4 linked regions of the Drosophila melanogaster genome follow. The gene in region 4 interacts genetically with the main gene of each other region. Each region holds a gene or a part of one and is shown on either strand. Other genes may lie near its edges.

What was found.
Region 1: of sina (region 4) and ttk, changing one suppresses a phenotype caused by changing the other (phenotypic suppression), as found in Drosophila melanogaster (3 studies listed by BioGRID).
Region 2: of sina (region 4) and eff, a change in one rescues a mutant of the other (synthetic rescue), as found in Drosophila melanogaster (2 studies listed by BioGRID, with this or other methods).
Region 3: of sina (region 4) and msi, changing one enhances a phenotype caused by changing the other (phenotypic enhancement), as found in Drosophila melanogaster (3 studies listed by BioGRID).

What each region holds. Positions count from the first base shown.
Region 1 is NT_033777.3:31,712,343-31,717,593, forward strand, and holds the start of ttk (tramtrack), read left to right. Parts: upstream 1-1,524; 5' UTR 1,525-1,927; intron 1,928-5,251. UniProt on the Drosophila melanogaster protein: Binds to a number of sites in the transcriptional regulatory region of ftz. Isoform beta is required to repress inappropriate segmentation gene transcription and repress genes incompatible with development of photoreceptor cell fates.
Region 2 is NT_033777.3:14,737,755-14,743,423, reverse strand, and holds the start of eff (effete), read left to right. Parts: upstream 1-2,104; 5' UTR 2,105-2,417; intron 2,418-2,483; 5' UTR 2,484-3,020; coding exon 3,021-3,044; intron 3,045-5,669. Other genes in the region: jvl (javelin-like), read right to left, coding at 833-1,246. UniProt on the Drosophila melanogaster protein: Catalyzes the covalent attachment of ubiquitin to other proteins. Mediates the selective degradation of short-lived and abnormal proteins.
Region 3 is NT_033777.3:25,513,810-25,519,246, reverse strand, and holds the start of msi (musashi), read right to left. Parts: upstream 3,130-5,437; 5' UTR 2,898-3,129; intron 925-2,897; exon of another isoform or gene 775-924; intron 1-774.
Region 4 is NT_037436.4:16,851,588-16,859,718, reverse strand, and holds sina (seven in absentia), read right to left. Parts: upstream 5,969-8,131; 5' UTR 5,194-5,968; intron 3,801-5,193; exon of another isoform or gene 3,735-3,800; intron 3,423-3,734; 5' UTR 3,302-3,422; coding exon 2,357-3,301; 3' UTR 1,007-2,356; downstream 1-1,006. Other genes in the region: sinah (sina homologue), read right to left, coding at 1-461; Rh4 (rhodopsin 4), read left to right, coding at 6,480-7,027; Zcchc7 (zinc finger CCHC-type containing 7), read right to left, coding at 7,503-8,131. UniProt on the Drosophila melanogaster protein: E3 ubiquitin-protein ligase that is required for specification of R7 photoreceptor cell fate in the eye by mediating the ubiquitination and subsequent proteasomal degradation of Tramtrack (ttk).

The sequences.
Region 1 (5,251 bases), on a different chromosome or scaffold from region 4:
CAAACCTAACTAACCGATTGTACTTAAAGAAAGCGATTAAGGCTTCCATTATCAGCGTATAAAGAGAGAGATAACGGCCTTCCTAGACATGTCTTATCTGTCGCCCAAGTCTGGTCCCTCAATCCTTTTCCACTATCAGCGGTGCCAAAGTCAAAGAACTCCCATATCTATGCCAGATATATAATCTTAGATGCGGGGAACTGTTGCCGTTTCCCAAGAACACGCATTGATTGACGGTCTTTCCCATGCATGCCTAATGATCCTTCAAATGGGCCCTAATAACGACCAGCCCCCCTTGGGATCGGATCAGGTAACGCCCCGTCCCGGGGGTTACCCAAAAAGCGACACGCTCCCAAGACCCATCAGGCAGTTGACCAGTGGGTTACGTGTGCCATCGTGCACAGCAAAACTAGTGTATAAAGTTTATATTATCTAAGGTAGCGATATTTTCTAAAACGTAAAGAAACAATTACGTTGCAAACAATTCTCTCAGTGCAGGGCAACCCCAGCAACAATTATTCAACTTAAAGTCGGTGCAGCGGGGAAAACATGGAATCATTTCGGTTTCAGTTAGAAGTGTGCGCGAGCGTTCTCGAAAGGGGCGCTGGGGGGCGGGGCAGTCGGTGGGAGGTTGAGCGAATAAGAGAGTCGAGCATACGAGGCACGCTTTTCCGATCAAACCAGTTTGTCGTAATAGCTGGCATTTGGAATTAGTTACTGCCGATATATTGCTGCACTTGGAATGCGCCCAGATAGAAATTCCCGCACCACGCCCCTCGGCGACGATCCTCCCCTTTGAATAGAGAGTTGACTATTTTTAGCGGGCACCAGAACTTCATTAAAATACAATCAATTTGCAAGTGCAGCGCGGAGAAAATAACAAACAAGCACCAGCCACCCACTCTCTCTTTCTCCTCTCTCTCCCCCCCCCCCTCTCTCACACTCTTCCATACTCCGGTGTTCCCAAAGAGAGCGGAGAGATGGCATTTATGCTGAGCAGGCACAAGCAGAGAGGTGAAGATGGGACTGAAGAAGAAGCAGCCGCTGTGTCGGCAGAATGAAAACGAGGACGACCAAACTGCATTGTTGTCATATTTCGTAATACGCTGATGCAGCAGAGAAGCGAAGGGGTGGTGGGCGCAGAGGTGGAGCAGCAGGTCACGGCGGTGAGAGAGAGCGAGAGCGCAGGAGACTTGTTTTCAACACCAGCTTATCAGCGGGAGAGCGCGAGAAGAAAGAGCATAAGGGCAGAGCGCCAACGCAGCGGCGAAATGGAAATGTCAAGTTGGGACTGCGCTCTCCCTCGCTCTCGCTGCCAGCAGCGGCTGCGCTGTTCTCTTAACCATTTGGAGCCCCATTCAAATGTTCGATTCTTGCCATTCCATTTCGTCCGCTCATCCGTCCACATCCACTTGCGTTTTTGGTGCCCTGCGAGCGGGAGAGCAATGTGAAACGGGAGCACTACAAATACCGCCCACTACCACTACCAATTCCCATACTCCCATATTCCATGCTATTCCCAGCTCAGTTCGTGCCGTGTGATCAAAGCTTTCGGTAAGGCTTCGGCTCGGCTTTGTGTATCCACCTTAGCGGCTCTCTGTGGTGCTCGTTCTGCCTCTCTCTCTCTCTCGGTTTTGGGGCTCAGCTCAGGGACAACAAATGCGGTAAAATGGCTTCTGCGTCGACGTCGACATCCCTGCCGTTTCAGTTCTGATTGGAGGTTCGTGCGCGGCGTTTCCTCAGCTGATTTCTTTGCCTTTTGCCTTTTCGCAACCCGCTTTCGGCTCCGTGTTCGCCTCGGTTGCCAATTACGTGTAACCAACAACAAGAGAAGAAACAGAAACAACAACAAGTACTTTCGAGTGTTGCAAGCCTTCTTCCGCCGAAGAAACCGCAAAACGGATTACCAAGAATATTTGTAAAATTGGTAAGTGGTGAGATTATCCACGAAATAGTCTTCGAAAAAGGTCAAATCATCAAGTGTTCAAATTTAAACGACAAGTTTAAGTATTCTTATTACCTTCTTAAGACTTATCTTGAATCTCAGATGAGGATTTTATTGATTAAGATTCAAAAGTTCTTTAACTGGCTTTTGTTTCTGGAGTCCGTAGTGATTTTTTTAAAGATTTGAATGTTCACTGAATTATATTTTTGGATTAGAATCTAATCACTTTAAACAGGACATCGCAGGAGTCGAAAACAATTGATGACAAAATCAGCAGTTAATAGCTTTTGGATTACAGAATTATAGCAATAAAAGCCTGACAAATTGGCCAAGGGTCGTTTTGGAAATCTAGCAGTCTTAAAAGCCTAGCAGATACATTTTCTTCTAACAATTTCCCGCTCACACGCTCAGTACATGCACCAACACACGCCTATTGGAAAGACGCTTTTGTATCCAACTTATACAGATAGTGGTACAGCCACAGATACAAATGCACACATGCCGTATACGGCACATGGGGAGTAATGCCGCCACACTAGATACCAGATACTAGATACATAGATTCGTCCGCCGCTTATTTGTCGGTCGTGCTTCAGTGATCTCTGTCATTTGCAGTTGCCCATTTCCTTTTTTATCCCCCACTTCCACATCCAGTCGTCATTCGCCCGGCGCACCCCTTTTGATCACTCTTCCAGTTCCAGTGCCTTCTGGTGGCTTCCAGTGGCTGCAACACTTGCGGTGTTTTTCTGAATGAACCAATGGAGTGAATGTGTGAATGAGTAATCCATGTACGCAACATGTTTGCACTGCACAAATTATTTGGACTCAATGTATTGATTGTGTAACTCGGCTTTACGTTTATTTAATCGCAATAACTAAAGTGAGCTACAACTCTATACGTTGGTTACTATTCTTGGGAGGAAGGAAACCTGACAACCCTGGCCAAGGGGCAACTCTACACTTGCACCTGTGCTCCACGCTAAGCCACAAATTCAATTATGCAAATCAAGATCACAGCCCAAAAAACACAATCTTCGTCTCCGATCTGCATTTGTCTTTGTATGTTATGTTTATTTGTTACTTCTGTCGTTGTTTTTAATTCGCTAACCCACTTCACACAGTGGCAGCAACAACAAAAATCGTGAATTATACTTTGTATTGGGGCGAAAAGGAAACGAATGCCCAGTCTCAGATCACACATAAATTTTGCGGTTGTTTTGTTAATGAAACGACAAGAGCAGCACTATGCGCTCTTTACTATATATTTCCCGCTCTCCGCGAAAGCTTTTCTGTTTGTTTGCCCCACACACACAAAGACACTTGTGAACACCTTGCGCTCACTTAACATTATGCTCGAATTATAACTGTTGTTTAGCCGGCGATCGAAACGGTTAAAGCAGCAATGAAAGAGGGAAAAGAGAAAGAGGATGACATGACTAACAACGCAAACGCGATCTGAACATATGCATTGTTGTTTTCGCTCGTAGAAACCCATAAAAAGTCGAAACAGTAAAAGTCCAAGCGGCGTATACGCAATATCAGCGGGGGATAGGAAAAGGCAGAACTCTCTTATCTATTCTTCTCTCACTCTCCCTTAAGTACACAGGGCAAGAAATGTTAAAACATTTTTAACAAATAATGATTGAAATAATACAGGAAATTTTTCCGGTGCATTGGTTTAGTGCACGTGACTCTTTCACAAATTCTACTTAAATGTATCTGCCATCTTGCGCCGATTTCCTGCCCCTTTTTCGTATTCAACAATTATTCGGAACCAAATTTGCACAATACATTCCTTGATTATTGTTATTTAAAATGATTTTATATTTATTTATTTCATTCGCAAGTGCCAGCTGCCATGCTAAATAAATGTCTGTTGTGCGCGGTTTCCCCGTGTATATTCATGTGGTATACCTTTTCATCCACACGATACTCCTTTTCATATTCTGGGGCTTGTGGCATTACAAGTAAATGAAATTTTTCTTGAATGCATTTCTGATTTGAATCACCTTCGCGGAGAACGCCAGGTATTTCGCTTTCGGGGTTCTGCTGCCCCGATTGCCCATCCTGATAGCATACAAGTCGCGCGTGTACCCCATATATCTCCTTTTTTAATTAGCAATCTGCACAAAAACTCCGACTACTGCAAAAACCTAAATTCAAAAGTGGAACACAAACAAAAAACGCTCAAAAGTCAGCAAAAAAATGAGGAATCAACGAAAAATACAAGAAACAGAAAAGGTCAGTGACCAAAATATGTTTTGTAACTCAGGCAGAAATCTTCGCGAAAAGAGAATGGGCCGAAAAAAGCTAAGCAAAAGACGGAAACCAGAAGGCAGCAGTGGTAACCCTCCAGATATAGTTACAGTTGCCCAAAGATCATAAATTTTTACTTACATGGATATCAAAGATTCATAATAAATTTAAAGAACAATTACCAAATAAAACCTAATGTTATTTCTTAAGGATTTCTAGTAATTTCCGGACCCCAAACACGTAGTTAGGCTTATTTCACAATTTCCGCCTGCTGGCTGAAATTAAATATTTTTTTTACCGTTTTAAGCCTTTTGCAGGCCTTACAAGCATACATACGCATGCACTATAATTCAATTAACGACGTCGACGCCGCTGCCGGCGCAGCTCAATGTCCGCGTCAAGTATACGCCCTGTGGTGCCTGAAAAACTGAAGAACTCAAAAATCACTCACCCACACAATCGGCGGTGGATGTGTTCATCTGCCAGCCGTTTCCTATTTTGCATTCTTCAACGAATGGCAGCCACAAAAGCGAATTTCAAAAAGGAGAGCGGATGGCCAGGCATTTGACTTAAGGCTGCGAACTTATAGTACGCCGCTGTGTTTGTGCGGGAAAAGGCAACATCAGCGAAAAGAAATAAACACACAGAGGTAGACAGCACACTACGAAATGCAAATGAAATGTAATTGAAAGCAGCGCTGCCAACGCCTCTGCTACCCTTAAGCTTTGCCAGGGGACGGTGTCCGTTCCGTTTGTCCGTGTGTGGGACAACCGGAGGTTGGGGATACAAGGCGGGCACAGTGGAGCTGTGTTCAAATTCCACATTGCCCTTTTTGTTTTCATAATTGGACTTACAATCAATCTTGAAGGTTGTAGCTCAAAACAAATATACATTCCTGACAGTCCTTACAGAAATTCCGTTGAAATTCCATGTTGAGCTCAAAACGATAATATGACATATAAGCGTCCAAGAAGTACTGAGATTTATCATAACTATTATGCCAAATCCTCAAAAATCCTTTTTACCCAAAATCATCGCATATGCCCCACT
Region 2 (5,669 bases), on a different chromosome or scaffold from region 4:
CCGTGCTGCAGAAACTCGAAAAAAGGTACTGATATAAAAATATATAAAAAAAAAAACAAACAGCCCAAAAAAAACGCAGTGTAAACAATTTTTTTAAAGCCGCTCGTGATTAACATTAAAAACGCATTTCCAATGGAGATCTGATTCTGCATGCACCGATTTCCGAGAGGAACAGATAGGCGGACTGCGGCAGCCAAGCAGAACGTTTATAAATATAATACAGTAGTTAGTGGCTACAAACGAAACAACCAACCATGCTAAACTTACAACTTTTCTAAAGCTATATCTATTTGAATATTAGGTATCTAAATTTATAATCTGGATCAAGAACTCATTTAAGTATAACCACGGAGTTATTAGCGCGTTCTTCTTAGGCGGAGCTTACTGTTTAAACTATGAATTGGGCGGGAATTATATATTCAGATATGACACGACCCAAGTTGCAAGTGCAGCGGAAGTGATCCATTACGCAAGTTTAGAGCGGAAAGAGCGGTGCGATTGCTCGAAAAAAAGAGATGGCAGAGTGGAAGGTAGAAAATGAGTATTAAAACCCATGGGGGTTTTATTACAATTACAATTCTGTGACATGCCAAACGAATCCCTCGAACTGGAAACTCTCTGTTCCAACCAGAATTCTTTATTTTTGGTTTTCTTTTCCTGTTTTGGGGTTAAATCTAAATACATACAAATGGCATTATCAAAGTTTAAATAAAATACTACATTTTATAATACATAACTTAAAGGGGATATATTATATTTGATTGGCAATTATAGAAGTTCCTTGTTCTCCTAATATTACAAGTTTATCTGGTTCTTTGTGCAACAAACTCACCTTGTGGCAAAACGCGGCTGCCTCCTTGGCCACGCCTACTCCGTCCGCTGAGTGGGCGTGCGTTGATGGCGAGGTCGCGTAGACGAAGAGCGGTAGCGAGCTAAAGTTCCGTTTGTCCTGAAAGCGGCGGCTGAAGAATAACGGCTTGTGGCATCCCGCTGCAGCGGCTAGTATGTTTGTTGTTGTTGCCGTTTTCGTAACACTAGGTGTGGAAGCTACTGCTGCTGCTTCTTCTTGTCTGCGCGTATTTACTGTTGTTGTTGTTGTTGTTATGGGTGCTGCAGTTGTTGTGTTTGCTGTTGTTGCATTTGCTGGGGTCGCCATTGGCGTATCGCAATTTTCTCGTATTATCGCCGCTTCTTCCTCTTCGCTGCAAGTTGTTGTTGTCTGTGTTTGCGTTTTTGTTGTTGGCATGACTACAACTACAGCTACTATAAATCGAATATAAATATATCGACGGAGGCGTGGGCGGTGGCGGAGCTGTGGGCGTGTCCCTGCAGCTGCTGGCGTCCCTTATTGTTGTTTCTGTTGTTCTTGTTGTTATTACTTAGGACCTTGGCATTATCCTCCTCCATCTTTTTTGCTGTTCAAGAAGTCAGCGAAGTTCAGCGCTTGCCAAAACTGAATGATTAGCACTTGCACATCGTCGCGTTTATCTTGGCTTTCTTCATTATTTCTTGTTTTTCAAGTGCAAAAATATTGTACAAATTCTTGGGCCATACAAAAGTGTGAGTTCTGTGTAAAAATTCACAAAAAAATACGCACGAAGCCGATTGCGGGGGTGGGAGAGAGATGGCGATACACGAACGAGTTCAAAGGGCCGCCAAACTAGGAAAAACACGCCAACAAATCAAACAAAACACTTGCACAACCGCAATTCGATCAATGTCGAAGCAAAACAGCCACTAATATTAAGTATATTACTTAATTAACAAACACTTTTGTTTGAAATATTTTGCAGACAGTTAAAGTTAGAGCTGGAACCAAAATCGATGTTTATGCGATACTATCGATGTATAGGGTAAGAGGGCTGCATTGATTAAATTCAGCTACCGTCGATTGTTTTAACTGTTCATACTATTATAACGGCAGTTTCAGACAGCGGAAGCGCCATTTGGAGTAGTGAGAAAATAAAAAGTTAAATTAAATGAACCAGTTTATTTTGTTAAAAATATTTTCATCCTTATGATAATAAAATCTAAATACTAAAAATCTACTAACGCCTGTTATTCCCAAAAACTATCGATAGCACAACGGAAAATATCGACAAGTATCCTGAATTGGCACGTCGGCCTTGCCAGACCAGCGCTCTGGAGTGAATTTAAATTTTAAAATAACGCCCTGTCAATTCAGTTGTAGAACTCAGTAGCTAGTCGGAAAGTTTTCAAGAACTCGGATTACCAACATCTCAAAATTGCTCAGTAAAAACATTCCGGCAGCCTGCAACACGTTGGGTGTTAACAAATTTACATACAAGTTGCAAGCTTTTGGGCGCACGCACCATCGATAAGAAGGTAGTTCGAATAAAATATAACACCTCCTCGCTGCCGGTAAAACTATTTCTTCTGGCTGTTCCCGAACTAAAGTGAGTATGAAGAGTCTTGCATTGGCAATCAAATTGTAATTAACTGATTCATCCCTCACCTAAAAGGCGTTGCCACCCAATCGATCTGGCCACCCCTAGCGAAAAGGTCATATAGCTGGACTGCTCTGCTGGACTTCCGCTTCACAACACTACCACACGACACAGACACACCATTCCTCTCGCTCGGGCTTACACTTCGGTGTAACGATTGTGCTTCGTTGCGTTCTCAGCTCACTAACGGTCGTCTCTATCGCACAAACGGTCGAAAGGCCCCGCATTGATTGTGAAAAAATAATCGTCGCCGTAGTCTTCGTCGGGTCGCCGTTTTTACTTGCAGTGCGCTGGTGCTGCTTTATTTCGTGACAAGGGACACTCAACCGAAAGAGCCATATTTAAGCATCAAAGTTCTAGAGGCGCAACGCAGCTTTGTGTTTCGTTTTTCGTTCAATTCTAAGCAGGAGGATTATATATTGAATAAAACCCAATTCTGTGCGAAGAACAAAAGAAATACGCGAGACACCAACACCAGCACACAACCAACCAAACACACACACAACCAACCAAACACACACACAACCCAGAAAATCAAATTTCAATCAGAAAATGGCGTTAAAAAGAATCAATAAGGTATGTGAAAAAAGGAATATCTCAAAAAACTTTGCGAAACGGACTAAAAAAAGAAAGAACAGAACCCTTTGCGATACACCAAAATGATAGTCTAAAAAAAAAGCGAACAGACATCAGTTTTCAACGGGAGAAAAATTTTATGCAAGAAATGTGAAACGTAGGTAGTAACCGAGGAGAAGAAAGAAGAAGCGGGGGGAAAGAAGCGTGCAAGAGGGAAGGGAGAAAATGAGCTGTGGAGTTACCATTTAATTAATAAGTTAGTAATTAGGAGCAGATTAGAAATTTTGAGGGTGGTGAAAAAGGTATAAGGATGTGTGTGTGTGGTGGGCAAGGCAACGTGTAGTGCAGTCATCGCTTCCGTTACTTTTGCGAGAGTGTGGGATAAGTGTGTGTGCGATGCGTGTGCGTGAAAGTGCAATGCAAATGTGCATTGTTTGTGTGCGTGTGTGCCGGGCACCTGGATGCATTTACATTAATGCAACTATACGGCGGAGTTTTCGCAGCTCTACGGGCGCTGTTACCCAATACACGCTGTACACGGCACTCGCACACACTCTCAGCCTCGCAACAGTCACACATAAACGCACACACTGCCAGCGCCGCAGAAAGATCCAGCAAAAAATAAAACAGAGCAAAAGCAAGAAGCGTATAAAATTAACCTAACCCTACTTTTTGCGCTGATAATTCAGAAATAGTGCTGCCCCCAAGCATATATATTTATATATGTATTTAGGTAGAGTGGTTCTAGCGTGCGTGCTTCGATAATTATTTTTAAAGTGCCTGCGCGTCGTTTGTCCTTGTCCAGTAAATGCTTTTTTACACCCCAATGTTCAAGGCCCTGACAACCCGATATTTTTTCAAAGTCATCCCAGCCTTCCTCAAAAGCATTAGTAATATCTCGAAGTTGTGGAAATGTTACTTGGCAAATTGGGATCTTTTTTTACGTTTGAAGCCGGTTATCATAGTCATACCCCACACACACACACATTAAAACGCTCGCAAATACAAAGTCTCGCCATCACTTGGCTATGGCCATTGCATGCCATCTCGCTCTGGCCCTGGCGCATTCCCTTTGCCCGCGACAGCTGAGGCCTCATTCGGTCCCGCTCGCGCAATGGGGCAGAGCCAAAGAGAGCGCAAGTGTGTGAGTGCTAGCGGGGCTTAGTGTTGCAAAACACCGTCAGCCAAAAGGGGGCCCCCAAATAATTAGTTATAAATTATAATTAAGCATAATTTACATACAAAATGAGCAGCGAATGCGGAATTTGTTCATATCTATGCGTATGTGTGAGCGTGGTGTGTATTTGTGTTTGAATGTGTGGGGCGGGGGTCTGCTGACTGTCTCGACAAAAGCAGCGCTGCCTGCGTCGGCGTCATGGCCATTGAGTTTTCCTCGTTTTTCGTAGTTTTCTATCCATTATAACATTTTAATGCCTGCCTAAATGAAAACGAAATGGCAAGCGGCAAACCGGAAATAAAAGTATACATTGTAGTAAACTCTTAAAATCACTCACGCCCCCTTTTTGTGGTCAATTCTTCAAAAGCCTTTTTTCTCTAGATGGCCTCATTTGCCAAAAAAGAGAGTTAAAGAGCGAGAGAGAACGGCTTAAACGCCGATCGGAGCTCACTTGAACCGTACACTGAACGAAATGGGCTTTAGAACCAATGCATATGGCATTTAGTCTTACTGAACCAATTCTTAAAGTTCACAATATTAATTATTCGAATAAGAATTAAATAGAAGTTTGTATTGGTAGTGCACCTGGTCTAATATTGATAATATTATCGAATTTTCTTGCTGTGCACAAGTGTGCGTGTTTGTTTTTACTTCATTTGTTCGTCTGATATGAGTCATAACCGCTCCGACTCCCAACGAAAAAAGAAATGTAACAATTTCTTGTAATTTATTTTTGCTCAACAGGTACAATTCCCAAAATGAGTAAGTGAGATGGGGCAAAGAAACACGGTGTTTTTCGCGACGGCTATTTTTGTTGTGCTCCACTCTGATTTTGTGGTGCCGTTACAAACACACGCATACACTGAAGCTCAGTCTTCTCACTCTCCTTCATTCTTCCTCCTCCTGCTGCTCCTCCTCTTACTTCTCCACTGAGTCGCGCTACTCTTTCGCAGCTCATCTTCATTATTCTTTTTATATATATATTCTTTTTTTTTGCCGGTTTACCTTACACCTCATTCTCTCTCCCCGTTTGGAGTGTGTGTGTGTGGGGCAGCTGTGATAAGTGAAGAAGAGTCGGAGTGTAAGAGAGAGGGAGGGGAGCCGCTCAGCTGTGTGCGTGCGAGTGCAACAGGGATGGAGCGACTGGTCGGGGGGTGGGGCAGAAGGAGACAGCGCCATTTGTGGTCCGGGCCAACGAACTTGATTTTTCACGTCTCTCCCTCTCGCTCGCACTCGCTTCGAACGAAGCTCTCGCATAAAAATGTTTATTTTGTATCCCCACATATCTGTTTTTAAATTCTGCATTTAAAATTTACATCATTTGCATACCAACCACACAGCATAAAATGTACGCACACCCGGAAAACCGTGGTACATACATACATATGTATGTACATATAGCTGGATCATAGAGCAAAACAAAAGAACCGACTACCGGAAAACATAAG
Region 3 (5,437 bases), on a different chromosome or scaffold from region 4:
AAGTATTATTAAACTATTGTTATAACATGTTTTATGGATTTTTTCTAAGAATGCATTATGTTATTTTATTAGTAAAAGTATATAGTCATGCAACTTTTTAATGTTTACATTAAATGTATTTGTCAATATTTGTGTTTTCATTGATATTTGTATCTGAAGCGCTTTTCCATTTCCCATAACATTGATTTGCATTATTGTTTATTAATTTTAACAATTTTTTTTGGCTTTCTGGGTTTTCTTTGGCATTTCTTTGTTTTGGCTTTACGCTTTTACTTTCGCTGTTTGGCATTCGCTTTTGCCTTTTGCTTCTCGCCTTTCAATGCTGAATTCTGAATTCTCTTTTGCCATTGCCGGCTTTTTCGACACATACACACACGCCACTGCACACACACACACACTAACACTCAAGAACTCACACACGTGCGTGCCGCTCTCAAAATGGTGATAAAATATTGTTGTTTTTGCCGTTGCGGTTTGATAATATTTCACACACGGCTTTTAATTAAAAACATTTGAGTCTTGGATCGCTTGCATAGTTTTTGTATAGTTCGCTGCCGGTTTTCGTATTAATTTTTCATAAATTTAATCGATTTGCTTGAACAAAAACACATGCACACGCATACAGAAACATAAATTCATGGCATAAAAACAAATTTCTGCGACGTCATTGAATTCGCCGCAAAAGAATATGCGAATATGTGAAAGAGAAATAAAAAACCAAAGAAGCGTCCCTCGACAAAAGAAACAAAAATGTCTTCGAGTTGAGTCACTTACACGCACACACACCAGTACGTTATACACACACTCACACACACTCGCTGGTGCAAATAAACGACGCGTGACGAAAATTACACGGGAAATATTCGCAAAAATCCACGAAATTCGACAATCCTTCCGCTTCGGGCAAGGAATTTTTTTTAACTAACGGTGAAGGAGCGGCTGCGAACTGTTTAAGGCGAGCTCAGCGAATTTCGCCGTGCTGCGCTGAAGCTCTGCCGCTCTCCCTCTCCGCTCGCTCTCCACGCTCTCTCTCTGGATTTTGGGACTCTCTCTGCAGGACGTGAATACTGAGCAGAAAAAGGAGCAACAAAAAAAGCTTGGATGCAACATGCGGCTGAGTCAGTTAATGACGTACCAACCTTTTTTTTTCTCCCCCCTTTTGTGTGTCTTTTATCGCGCCTCTACCGTCATCAAGCTGGTACTCCCCCCATAATCATTTCCGATATGCAGTTCCATGCAGTTTCCCCAGACAATAGGCCTACAATATAGCCATATAGTCGCATATAGCCAGCACACTGAGTCGCCGAACGAGCGTCTTTATAGCCCGCTTTGTTCTCCCCCCAATTTAAAGTGAGCTCTGGAATAGTGGAACACCCTCAACGATAACTCCATTATCTATCCTTCAAACATGGAAATGTTGAAGGTTTTTTAAGCAACTTTGCAGATTTTCATAAAATACGTATTCTTATAAACGTCGAAAAATATGATAAAAAAAAAACAATTAAGAGCTTACTTTGTAGCATGTATGCAACTAAATTCAGTATTTCCAAGTAATTGTTATTTATAGGCTCTAACTTACTGTCATTAAAGTGTAAAGAACAGAAACTATTTTATTTATATTTCGAAAAAAAAACCATGACTTATTTTTGAGCTGTCGTTTTAAACAATTTGCACTTTACTTTATTGGGAAAATCCTAAAATATATTTGTGGGTTACAAAATTGGAGCACTGACTGTACTTGACTTTCTGTGTTTATCTTATATTGTTTGCTCAGCTCGTATTTCTTTTAAAGCTCAGCTCGCAGCTGACGCATTTTGTTGATTTTGAATGCTTAAAACTGAGAAACAAAGAGTAATTGTTTAATTCAGTTGAAGGGAAGGATTGCCAGCTATTTCGCTTTGATTTATGTGAAATTTACAAATCAAATTTATTTCGGTTGGAAAGTGTTCAGTTATCGTATCTGTTGTTTAAGCTTAATTAATTTAATTGTCACATATTCCATGGGATTTTGAACTGTACACGGGCTTATGCGTGTTTATTTCTTTTAAATAACGACAATTTGTTAAATTGTAGTAAAATATTTCATTATCGTTAGTTCCCTAGAGCCATTTCTGATTTTCTTCAAATCTTAGGTCTCCTTTCAGTTCTTATCGTACACAACTCGTTGAGAAATACACAAAACTGAAACGCAAAATTGTTGTTGTTGATAAAACTGAGCTAGTCACCGACAACAACCACAGTAAACATTAACCACAGCTTGTAGTTTGATAATGGATTTTTCTGTTTTAAAAATTGATGGTTTTCTCCAGTGCACAAATGTTCACCAATCTCGAATCGAAATTTGATATAAATTTAATCCATTTGAATTGAATTTTGTATCAATTTATTAGTAAAGCACTTATTTAATTACACATGTTTTATTTAGTCAAATTACTGGGCTTTTTATCTCGAGCTGAGAGTTCATTGTTTTATATTATTTATACACACATATCTTGAACTCGTCTTTTGTATGGATTATCGGTCTCTTAGTCATAGCGAATTAAATTGCTTTATGTTTTGGCATTCATTAGTTAAACATATCATTAGTTAATAAACCATGAAAGTTGATTTTAGATTTAATGATAAATTTTGTTTATAATCTTAATAGCCATGAAATACATATTTTATTTAGCCGCTCAAGTCATTGATTTGAATAAAGCTTGATGGGTTGTGCATGCATGTGTAGAGAGATTTCGAATCGTATTTTTAATTAATTTGCATGCACTGGCATCCGTTTTATGGATGCGGTTTGTTCATTTAGCTTAACAATTTAACACGTAATTTAATTCAGTCATGCAACATGTCAGAAACAGATTTTCTTATTATTGTATTTTCTAGGGGCGACAAATAGGAATTACTTTAAATGCGCGGCAAACAAAATTCAAGCTTTGTTTGTTTGTTTATTTTCCATTAGCCCACTTCGGTTTCGATTTCGATTTTCGGCCCAGTCCAGAATCAAGTTAAGACCTGGCTTTATCTGCATGCACAAACGGAAATCAACGACAAAACGACGACGACACGATGAAAACGAATCCACGAATCGCTCCGCTTCGAATCAACTGGCTGTTGTAACGGTCGCAGGCAAACTGAGTCCGAAAGATACAGATACAAGTACAAGCGGCCCCCGCGGAAAAGTTCTCTCACCGCCTCTCGCTTTTTATACCTCTTCCTCTCTTTGTCGATCTATCTCTCTCGGTTGTTTGTCGTTTGCGGCAAGCATAATAAAATAAAACAAGTGGTCGAGTTTTCCAACTTGCAGATACCCGGTTTTTAGATACAATAAGTTTTAGATACACTAAGCTTAACTTCCCAATGATAAATATAATTTAAAAAATTACTTTAGGAATTTTATTTAAAAAATAGATATAATATAAAATATATTTTAAAATAATACTCTGCAAACGCAATATACTCTGGGAATTTCTGAAGTACAGGGTAATCCAAAAGGAGAGCGGAATCGTTCTCTCTCTTGCGATGCGATGGCAACAACCACCCACAACATAAGCGGTTCACTCGCCCCCACCACACCACCAGCGAAGGAACAAAAACAAGCAAACTCTCTCTCCCATAAACTGAGAGCGCGTTGTTGTTTGCGGCGAAGTCGCTCAAAAAACGCCATTTGGGGAGACAGCAACAACTTTTGGGACTCATACTGTTGTCCCGTTCGCACTCGAGCGCTCTCTAACTTCCGGTCCCGTATGCTGCGACGTAGTGTTGTTGCTGTGGCTTTTTCAGTGGGGAAATGAAAATGAGCATCATTTGGTATTTACTTGGTATTTTTCGGTACTTTAAAATTGTTGCTTAAGTGCAATAAAAAATTTAATTTAATTAATTTGAAGGAAATGCTTGTAATATTGTAATTTTTATTTAACACACACTTTATTATTATTTTACCTTTACCATTTTTATATGATTGTTAAACAACGACTTAATCCCAGTTTATAGCTTATTTTATAGCGTTTTTGTCGCCTGTTGCACCCACCGCAATTACCAAATGTCGGCACGCCCCCGCAAAATTCAAAATTTACACAAATTTTTTGCAAAATCGCAGACGGGCGCTCCCAAATCAGAAGAAAAAAATCTAAAACAATAATTTCAGCGGCTTATTAGACGGCCTAAAAACATCAAAGGCCTACCCATTCCTAAGCAAGATTTCATGAAATTTGCTCCTTTTTTTATTTTCTTTATAATTCACAACAAAACGCGCAACAAGCGCAACGAGTTTTCTGCAATCGAGCAGCTGACGGCGAAAAAGAGTTTTTTTCTGTAATATATTTTCCCTTATTTTGTTTGGTCCATTTTTTCATGTTGGTTCCTTTTTTGTCGGGACACAAGAAACTTGTTTGCAGAGCTTCGGGCGATAAAGAAGGAGAAATATATAACAATAGCAACAGCAACAACAGTGACTGAGGCAGACAGGTCAAAGGAGCAGTTTTTGCCCCTGCCACGCCTCCATTTCGTCTACATCTTAACCGCCCACCGCCTGCCACGCCCCCGCCGAAGCAGCAATAAATTCTGCCAGAAAGCGTCTTCGATTAGTTCGGAAATGGCGAGAGAAGTGACTGAAACGAATAAAAAGAAAATGTTCTTAGAAAAAGTCGTCATACGTCTTCTGGACTAAGAGATACCTCTTAATTCATTATAAAAGATTTTAGAATAAGTTATTGGAATTTAGAATTAAAAACAATTATACAACAATTATAACAACTGAAATATTTTAATACCATACATTTTAGATTATTGACAGTTACCACACTTTTTAATAGATGTAGATTGCCCAAAGACCCCAAGATCCATTCAGGAATACAGGACAACAGGACAAAATAAGCCATTGATCTATATCAATGGCAATATCTAGTCTGCAACTGATGTTCCCAGAGTTTATTACCGCTCAAAGGTAGAAATTTATAGCAAACTGCGCATTCAGCAAATTTGGGTCATAAAAGTAATTAGTGAAATCTGTTCCAGTACAGATTGGTATTTGTGGGTGGATTTTAATTACCGGCCAGAAGTTCATGAAAGTGCCAAGAAGTTTCCCACTACCCCGCCATTGGCTAATTGATTTAGCTTCCGTTTTATTGATCAGCAGAAAGGAGTGAAACCCTTGGCCGGCAGTAAAATCGAACACGTGGGGCCTTCTGGGGTTAAGGGGCAGAGGAGCAGGGTGTTAACCAGCAGCGGGCAACGTCGGTTATTGGCCTAATAATGAAACAGCCATAAAATTAAAAAGCGCTTTCAGAGATTTAGGGCTCAATAGAAGAAATATATGCAGCTTTTATGCAAGAATTATTAGTGAATATTAATGGGTATAAGTTTTTAGGCAATTAATTATTTTACAAATACCTATATACTCATGCCTTAGCCATTACAGTTACCTTTTTTAAATACTAGAATATTC
Region 4 (8,131 bases):
TTCTCCATTGCCAGGCTGCGGATGTTGGTCATGAACACCCGGCAGACGGGGCAAATGGTCAACTTTGAGCGGCAGGTGGAGCAGATGAGGTGGCCACGCGGGCACTGCATAATTGGCGGCATTATGTAGCCAAAGCACACCGGGCACTCGAGCAAAGCCATTAGAAAATCGTCTCTTGCACCACTGCGTGTTGTGTCCAATGGCCCAGTGGCCACAATTCCCGACTGCACAGCCACCGAGTCCTTCCGCCTAGACGGCACCAGTTCTCCGGCAGCGGCTGCGTCCGGGGATTGCCGCTTGACCACCACAACGTGCGTGGTCTCCTCCGGCGGCACGACCAACGCTGGTGCCGATTGACGACGAGTCAACATTTCTCCGGATGCCGTTGGAGTGTCAATAGTCCTTTGCGGACTTACCCGCTCCGGCCACGATAACTGGGGGCGTGAGTTGCGAACAGACATCTGTGCTTCAGCCAACAATCAATGCGCAAGCTATTAATCCTAAGACCTAACAACCAAACGATTCTGAAGAATGAGAGTGCCGATGGTTTTACTTTTTTTTTACTTTTTCTGAACACTGAAATTTTGCTTAAAAGAATTCGAAAATACAATCTGTACCACAATACAACGAAGCTAAAAGTATAATGAGCTACTTTTACTTCGGAGCCTACTTGCTTTAAATCATTTTAAAATCAGCTTAAAAATTTATTTTTGAAATTGGCCTAAGTATCCTAGTAAGATACCAATCCAGCTAAATCTTTAAGATGCTTCGGCGGTGCACCACTAAAAACTTGTGCCATCTATTATTGCAACGTTTTAAAACGCATTAGAAGTAACCCAAGTATCTCAAAGATAATCCAAATTAAACAGATAACTGATTTAAATCGACAAGTTTATAAAGTGGCGTAGCTCTTCTTTGTAATTCAGCTTCCCCCAGATTAATTTCAATAATTAACGAGCATTGTTTACTTTTACTAATCATGTTTATTTCAGTTTTGTAGTTTTGTGTCTGTGTGAGTGATCTCATATGGTAGTGGCGCGGTAAATCGGCGCATTAAAAGCTAATTACGGTGCAGATGCTTAAAATCATTAATTTTTCTTCCGTTTTCGATTGGGAAACGTTGGCCGAATGGAAATCAAAACCAAAACATGAGCCAAACCGGGGAGATCGTCTTAACTAGATAGAAATTTAAACATTAACATTGCTTTATATGTTTGGGGGGACTTGGGGGGAAATGGGAAGGGGCAACTGTCTTTTTAGCATTGCGAAAAAAAATGTTTTCTTTTTTTTTTAGTGTGTTTTTGTTATTTTGTGATGGTTTGGCATGAACAAAATTGCGGGTCGCAGTTTCGTTTAGGCTGCAACTTTCAAACAACTCTCGAGTTATTACAGATTATCGCTATCAAATATTACTTTTCTTTGTGGGTTATTAGGTTTGTTAATTTCGTTAAACTGTTCGTTTTACTTATTACCATTTACAAGTATTGTATAAAATAATTTACATTAACTAAACTAGACTTTGCAGTACATGTTCGAGTGGATGAGTGACCTCCTCGCCTTTCTTGCTGTTCTCCTCGTTTTGGTGAGTGGGTCTGTGTGTTCCTAGCGTTCACTGTAGTAGGTGGTGGGCACGTGGGCACGCGCAGGCAGCTCTGCTCCAGGTGTGTGGACCTTACGAACTAAATTAAACTAAAGCAGAACCCCATGAACTAACAAAACGGGTAACACTGAAACTTTGAAATATATAGTATTGTGTGTGCGGTAACTGAAAAATCATGTCCTAGAACTAGAGTACCAATCGAACCGATTAAACATACAAACATACAGGTCAGCCACGATTTTCGCATTCGACAGGAAAGTGTGTTATACAAATCTGCGAAATCTCACCAAAAATATTTGGCATTTTTCTGCAAACGAGTGAGATTTACACACAGTCATGTGCAAACTAAAAATGAAAATACGAATTTTAAACGCGGTTTTACAGGTTTAACGAACGTGTGCAATAAACACTGAACATCACTTAGCAATTGCTTTAATACGCTTTCCATTTCGCTTTGGAAAATTGTGAGTGTCTTAGCTTAAAAATCAAAGAAAACTGCGATATCGTGCCGAATGTGATAATCGAAGCAGCCTGATATTTCCATAGATATATATACATATGCATGTAAGTGGCTCTTAGAATAGAGAATCATTTTTATAAAACAACTCTGCAAAACTCTTTCTTCTTAATCTCCAGACTCACAATCTGTCCACGAGTTAGACGCCTGATGCGAACAGAGGGCTATAAACTATATATGTATTTGTATCGGAATAGTAAACACAAGAAATGAAAGAACCCGACGAATTGACAGTGCGTTTAGACCAGAGATATGGTCACGTTAATGCCCAGGTTGCCATTGTCGGCGAACAATTGCGCAATCGACGTGTCGAACACCAGGCAGTCCGAGTTGTGAATTGCGGAAGCGACGCCCTCGTGGATCGAACGCGGCATTGCCTCCCAGGTGAGCCGGCGTCGGTTTCCGTTCAACTCCAGGCGATAGACAAAGTTCTCCGCTTCCTTGCGCGACCCGATCAGCTGAACGATGGCAAAGAACTGCTGGTGTCCGTCGTACTTCTCCTGCTTCTCCAGCACGAGCATAAAATGGTGGCCGAAGCAGGACTGCATCATTACCCAATCGACGGCGCCGGGCAGGTTGATGTCGGTGGCCAGGAACACGATGTCCTCGCCCTGCAGCGTTGTGATGCTCTTGTGCGACATCATCAGATGCTGCATGACTAGGTCAAGCGGGCCCTGCCACTTACAGCTGGCGCCCGGGCACGGACACAGGTAGGGCCGGCACTCGCACGTCTCCTCGTGTTCTGTCTTTTCCGTGTAAACCAGCGAGGCGGTGCATCCGTAGCCGGAGTGCTTGCACGGGAACTTGACGTTCGAGGCAACCTTCTCCATCGCCAGGTTGCGGATATTCGCCAGCGGACCGCGGCAGGTGGGGCAGCAGGTGAGCTTGGAGCGACAGGACACGCACACCAGGTGCCCGCTGGAGCACTGCAGGATCGGCGGTAGCACATAGTCAAAGCACACGGGGCATTCAAACAGCGAGGTCAAGTCGGCGGACATGCCCGCATCACCGCCACCGGCGGACGACAGCGAGGAGCTGGACGACGAGGATGTGTTGGCCGAGGACGTGTTGCCGGCACTGGAGGATCCGGTCGAGGTGCTCGTGTTGGTGGCCACTCCCGTGGCACCGGCTCCTGCTGCTGCTGCTGTCGGTTCGCGGCGCTTCGGGTTGATTTTATTGGACATTGGAAGGGTTCTCGCAACGGCACGAATGTGTCTACAATTCTTCTGGGTCCCTGCAATTCTCGCCAGGTTCAGGTTCTTCGCCCTCCCGGTGGCTTCGGCAATGGCTTTCTTGTGCTTCTGTCTAAAATGAGATACAATCACAGGTCAGTGAGTAATGCGGTCAATTTAGTCATAGCATATGTATAATTTTTTTTTCTTTTTTTTGTAATTTTGTTCGTTCAGTGATAAGAAACTCCAAAAAACAATAACCTACAAAACCATACAGATATCTTAACAAAAATAGTTTGTTTCGATTAGGCTTAGTTAATCCAAAAATAACATATATCAACCAACAAAAAAAATCACAGTATAACACACTGCATAAATGCTGGTTTAAATTTGAACATATGTTATGAGCTTTCTATCGATTTTGCGGCTTAAGTTCGGAGCATACTATTGATTTGAATGTTCATTCCAAACTATTGTGCCCACTGGGACATGAGTAATAGGCAAAAATATTTTTCCATGAAGTAATAGAAATGAAATGAATGCAAACTGTGTAAGCAAAATCTACTCGATTGCTATAAAAAATGTTGCCCAGCAAAACTACTATCCATTTGTAATAATTTAATTTGAGCCTTATTAATTTAAAACTTATTTCGCGTAATCACTACTACTAGGTAGTTCGTTTTTCGTGCCGCCCAATAGAAAAGCCAAAGCGATTTATCATTCCTGGCCTTAACCTTGCCGTGGATTCCCAATTGTTGTAATTACCGAAAAAAGAAAACACACGCATTTGCGTGTATGGGAATTGCATTTAAGCAATTACTTAAAGCGGAACGTATCGAACCGGAGTTGGTCTGCGAAAAGCAAAGACACAGCCCGAGGTCGCCGTCACGTCTCCGATCGAAATGAAGGCCCGATTCCGATTCCAACTCCGAGCCCAAGCCCAAAAGCCTCTTGGCGGCACGTGTGGAACGGCGCAAATATGTTGGCTCTTATCAGGCGGAGCTGACGGAGCCGACGCTGATGGACGGCCATTAGGGACGTCGACCCATGGCGGGATTGTGCGATGGTGGGTGTCGTGCTGGTTGTAATGGGTGTGGTTCGGTTTCACGGGTTTGTCCACTTTGGACAGAATGGGCACACATTAGTGTGAACAATATGCTGTGGGTGCTTTGGTGCGTTTATAAGATAAATATCAATATAATAATATAAAGTTTTCGTAATTGTTTAGCTTTGATGTACAAACAAAACTTGTTCTCTTTCCTAACGGGAATATATTTGCTATATGATTGCTATCAAAATTTTGTGTGAAAGGAGTTCAGTAATATTGTTTATATTCGAAAACAAACTCAAACCTAAAAAATAAATAATATGTTTCCTTATTAACCCAAAACAAAAACACATGAAACGCATGAACATACAAATGTTTAATACTTTACCCTATATATTGGAAAAATTATTTGAACATTTGCCATTATGAAATTCGTACCATCGCCCGCATAAACGTAATATCGTAATGAAGAGTGCGTAACGTAACAAATGCAACGAGGATGTGTAGGGGGTGGGTGGCGGTAGGGGATGGCAGCCGCGGGGAGGGAAACTCACACACTTACAACACAGACACAGATCGCACACACATAATTAACAGTTCGTTTACGTTGCGTACCGTTGGAAACGTTCATACGGGGTAAAAATGGTAATTGCCACAAAAGTCATAGCCATGAATATAATTAACTTAGCTTCTGCTTTCATGAGTTGCAAAATGGTAAAATAGAAAACGTAAGTTGCGGAGCAAAGCGAAATGCGACTATCTTTCTTTAATTTATGCCGCCATTAAGTGCGACTAGGCTGCTGTTTAAACAGCAACAACAACTGCGAAATACATAATCGTTGATATGTAAACTTACATGGCAGGCTGCCTCCAAGAAATTGTGCCGAGGTATTGGTGCCCCGCTGCGTTGGTGTGTGTGTGTATGTGTATATTTTATTTTCTTGTTATTTTTTTGTTTCCTTTTTTATCAGTCAGTCAGCCTTTACGGCCATGCACACACACACACGCATACAGCCAGCATGTGTGTGTATATATCCTAGGTGCAAGTTCCGTTTTTTACGTTGCAATTTGTTATTTTTTTAACCGCATATATATATATAACCAATGCAGGTGGTTTTGCTACTGCACACGCACACTGGGAAAATGGAAAAACTGTTTTGATTGCTTTTCGCCTTTTCGTTCACCTTGCACCGAACCGAAACTCGAAATTCAGGCGTGAGCTAATTTCATTTGGCTTTTTATCTAATTTTCTTTAACGCGACCCGCACACATACACATTTATTCATATTTAGCTTTACTAGTTATTTTCGCCTTTTCTGCCTCTGTGTTGCTGCTGCTGCTGATGTTGTGTTGTTGTTGTTGCTGCACAAAAATAAACCATTTGCATTTACACACAGGCAGCGAAATGGGTTTTTTTCGTGTGTCTCACTTTTTCTATATTGCGTTCTTTGATCGTCGCAGTCGGCGTTTATTGCACTTGCCCTTGCGCGGTGTGGAATTCAGTCTTTTTCGGCATTCTCCATGTACTTTGGGCGTGATGTCTGCCTTTAGCTGGTTAATTAATTAATTTACTTTACTATACTGAGTTTCTTCTAATGTCCGCGTCGGTTGCAGAGATGGAACCCCAATTGTCGTCTATTCGATTCCAGATAGTCGATTACACGCAATCGGCAACATCGCAGTGCCTCCTGGTAGCTATCAATTGCTGTCATCGATTACTTAACAGCCTTGCCACGTTTGTCAAATTAATTTAATAACAGGAAAACATCAGTTTTGAAATAATACAAATCGAATCAGGCGCATAATTTTTAAAGGATCAAAGTTAATAATGTAGTCTGTTACTCTTATTGACAACTAAAGCCTAATTTTTAAAATAATTCATTAATAAATACTTTTTTATGATTTATAGTATTTCCAATCAAATAATATAGGCAATACAAAAAATTAAATAAAAATATTGATTGGTGATACCTTGACCTTGTGTCACATCATTGGCGGGAATGTTTAAGAACTTAGTTTGGATCGGGAAATTCGAAGAAACAAATTTACGAAAGAGTAAAATTGCGTTTTACGAATATGAAGTAAATAAATATCCTAATACCAAAAATCCCATTAATCTTCTTCACTTTTATGCATTTCCAGAGGGCTACCTCACGTCCTGCTCCTTCGACTATCTTTCGGACAACTTTGACACCCGGTTGTTTGTGGGCACCATCTTCTTTTTCAGCTTCGTGTGTCCCACGCTGATGATCCTTTACTACTACTCGCAGATCGTGGGCCATGTCTTCAGCCACGAAAAGGCCCTACGGGAGCAGGCCAAGAAAATGAACGTGGAGTCGCTGCGCTCCAATGTGGACAAGAGCAAGGAGACGGCGGAGATACGGATTGCGAAGGCGGCTATCACCATCTGCTTCCTGTTCTTCGTGTCGTGGACGCCCTACGGCGTAATGTCGCTGATCGGGGCATTCGGGGATAAGAGTCTGCTTACACCAGGAGCCACGATGATCCCGGCCTGCACCTGCAAACTGGTGGCGTGCATAGACCCATTCGTCTATGCCATAAGTCACCCCAGATACCGCTTGGAGCTGCAGAAGCGCTGTCCCTGGCTGGGAGTCAACGAAAAGTCTGGGGAGATCTCTTCGGCGCAGTCCACGACCACCCAGGAGCAGCAACAGACTACCGCTGCATAGAACCAAGGACAACTCTACTCTAAGACAACTGACCATGTAACATGAAAGCCAAGGAAAAAGTATAAAATGCCGACAACGAAACTGTATAACATTAATTTTATAATTTGTAGTGTGACATTCTTGAGTTTGAAATAAATAAATAGTAACTTATTGCAAACGAAGTAGAAAATGAGTCCCGTTTTTTATTTGAAATTCGGTTCTTTGATGTCATTATTTTGTTACTATTTCTACACTTACACTTAAAAATTAAATAACAAATTCAACTCAAATCCTAAACACATTTACACAGTTATTTGGAGCCTCTTCATTCCTAATAAAATCATAAAATCGAGTTTTTTTTTCAAAATAGTCAGTTATGTATTTATTCGGTTTTTGGGTAATATCTTTAAGATACCCATTGTGAAATCTGTTGGCATTTGTTAAACAAAATGAAGGTGACCCACCAGGAAATAAATTCCATGACCCTGGCTAATCCTCAGTTGCACATCAGGGAATGCAGTCGAATGACCGCTCGGTAATCGTTGTGCGACAGCAGACCACGCTGCGATCGCTGTAGCACTCGTTTCAGCCGCTCTACGGTCTCTGTGTTGGAGGTCATCTTGAAAAGATCATCGAGGTACTTTAGCGATTCGCGTGACCAGAACATGGACGGTTTGTTGGCGTCCTTGTTGATGCTGCCAGGTTGATTGTGATCCATTTCACTCAACAGACGGTCACACTCCGGATTGAGAGTATGGCGCAGCTGAAGATCGGATCGTGATCGTTGCTGGAGATTATTGTAGGGCATCTGGTCGATCTGTGGACGTCGTAGATTCTGCTGATATTGGTTGTTGTCTTGCTGCTGATGCTGCTGCTGTTGTTGCATACGTTGCTGTTGCACACGTTGTTGCTGGTGTTGCTGTTGTAGACTTTGCTGCTGTTGCTTTTGCTGCTGCTGCAAGCGTTGCTGTTGGTTTTGATGTTGCTGCTGCAGACGTTGCTGTTGCTGTTGCTGCTGCCGTTGTTGATTTTGTGTTTGCTGATCCAGGGCTTGACGTTGCTTCTTCTTTGACATTTTAGGAGGTGGTGGTGGAGCCATGTCCTGCCGAACTGGTGGGAGAGGCG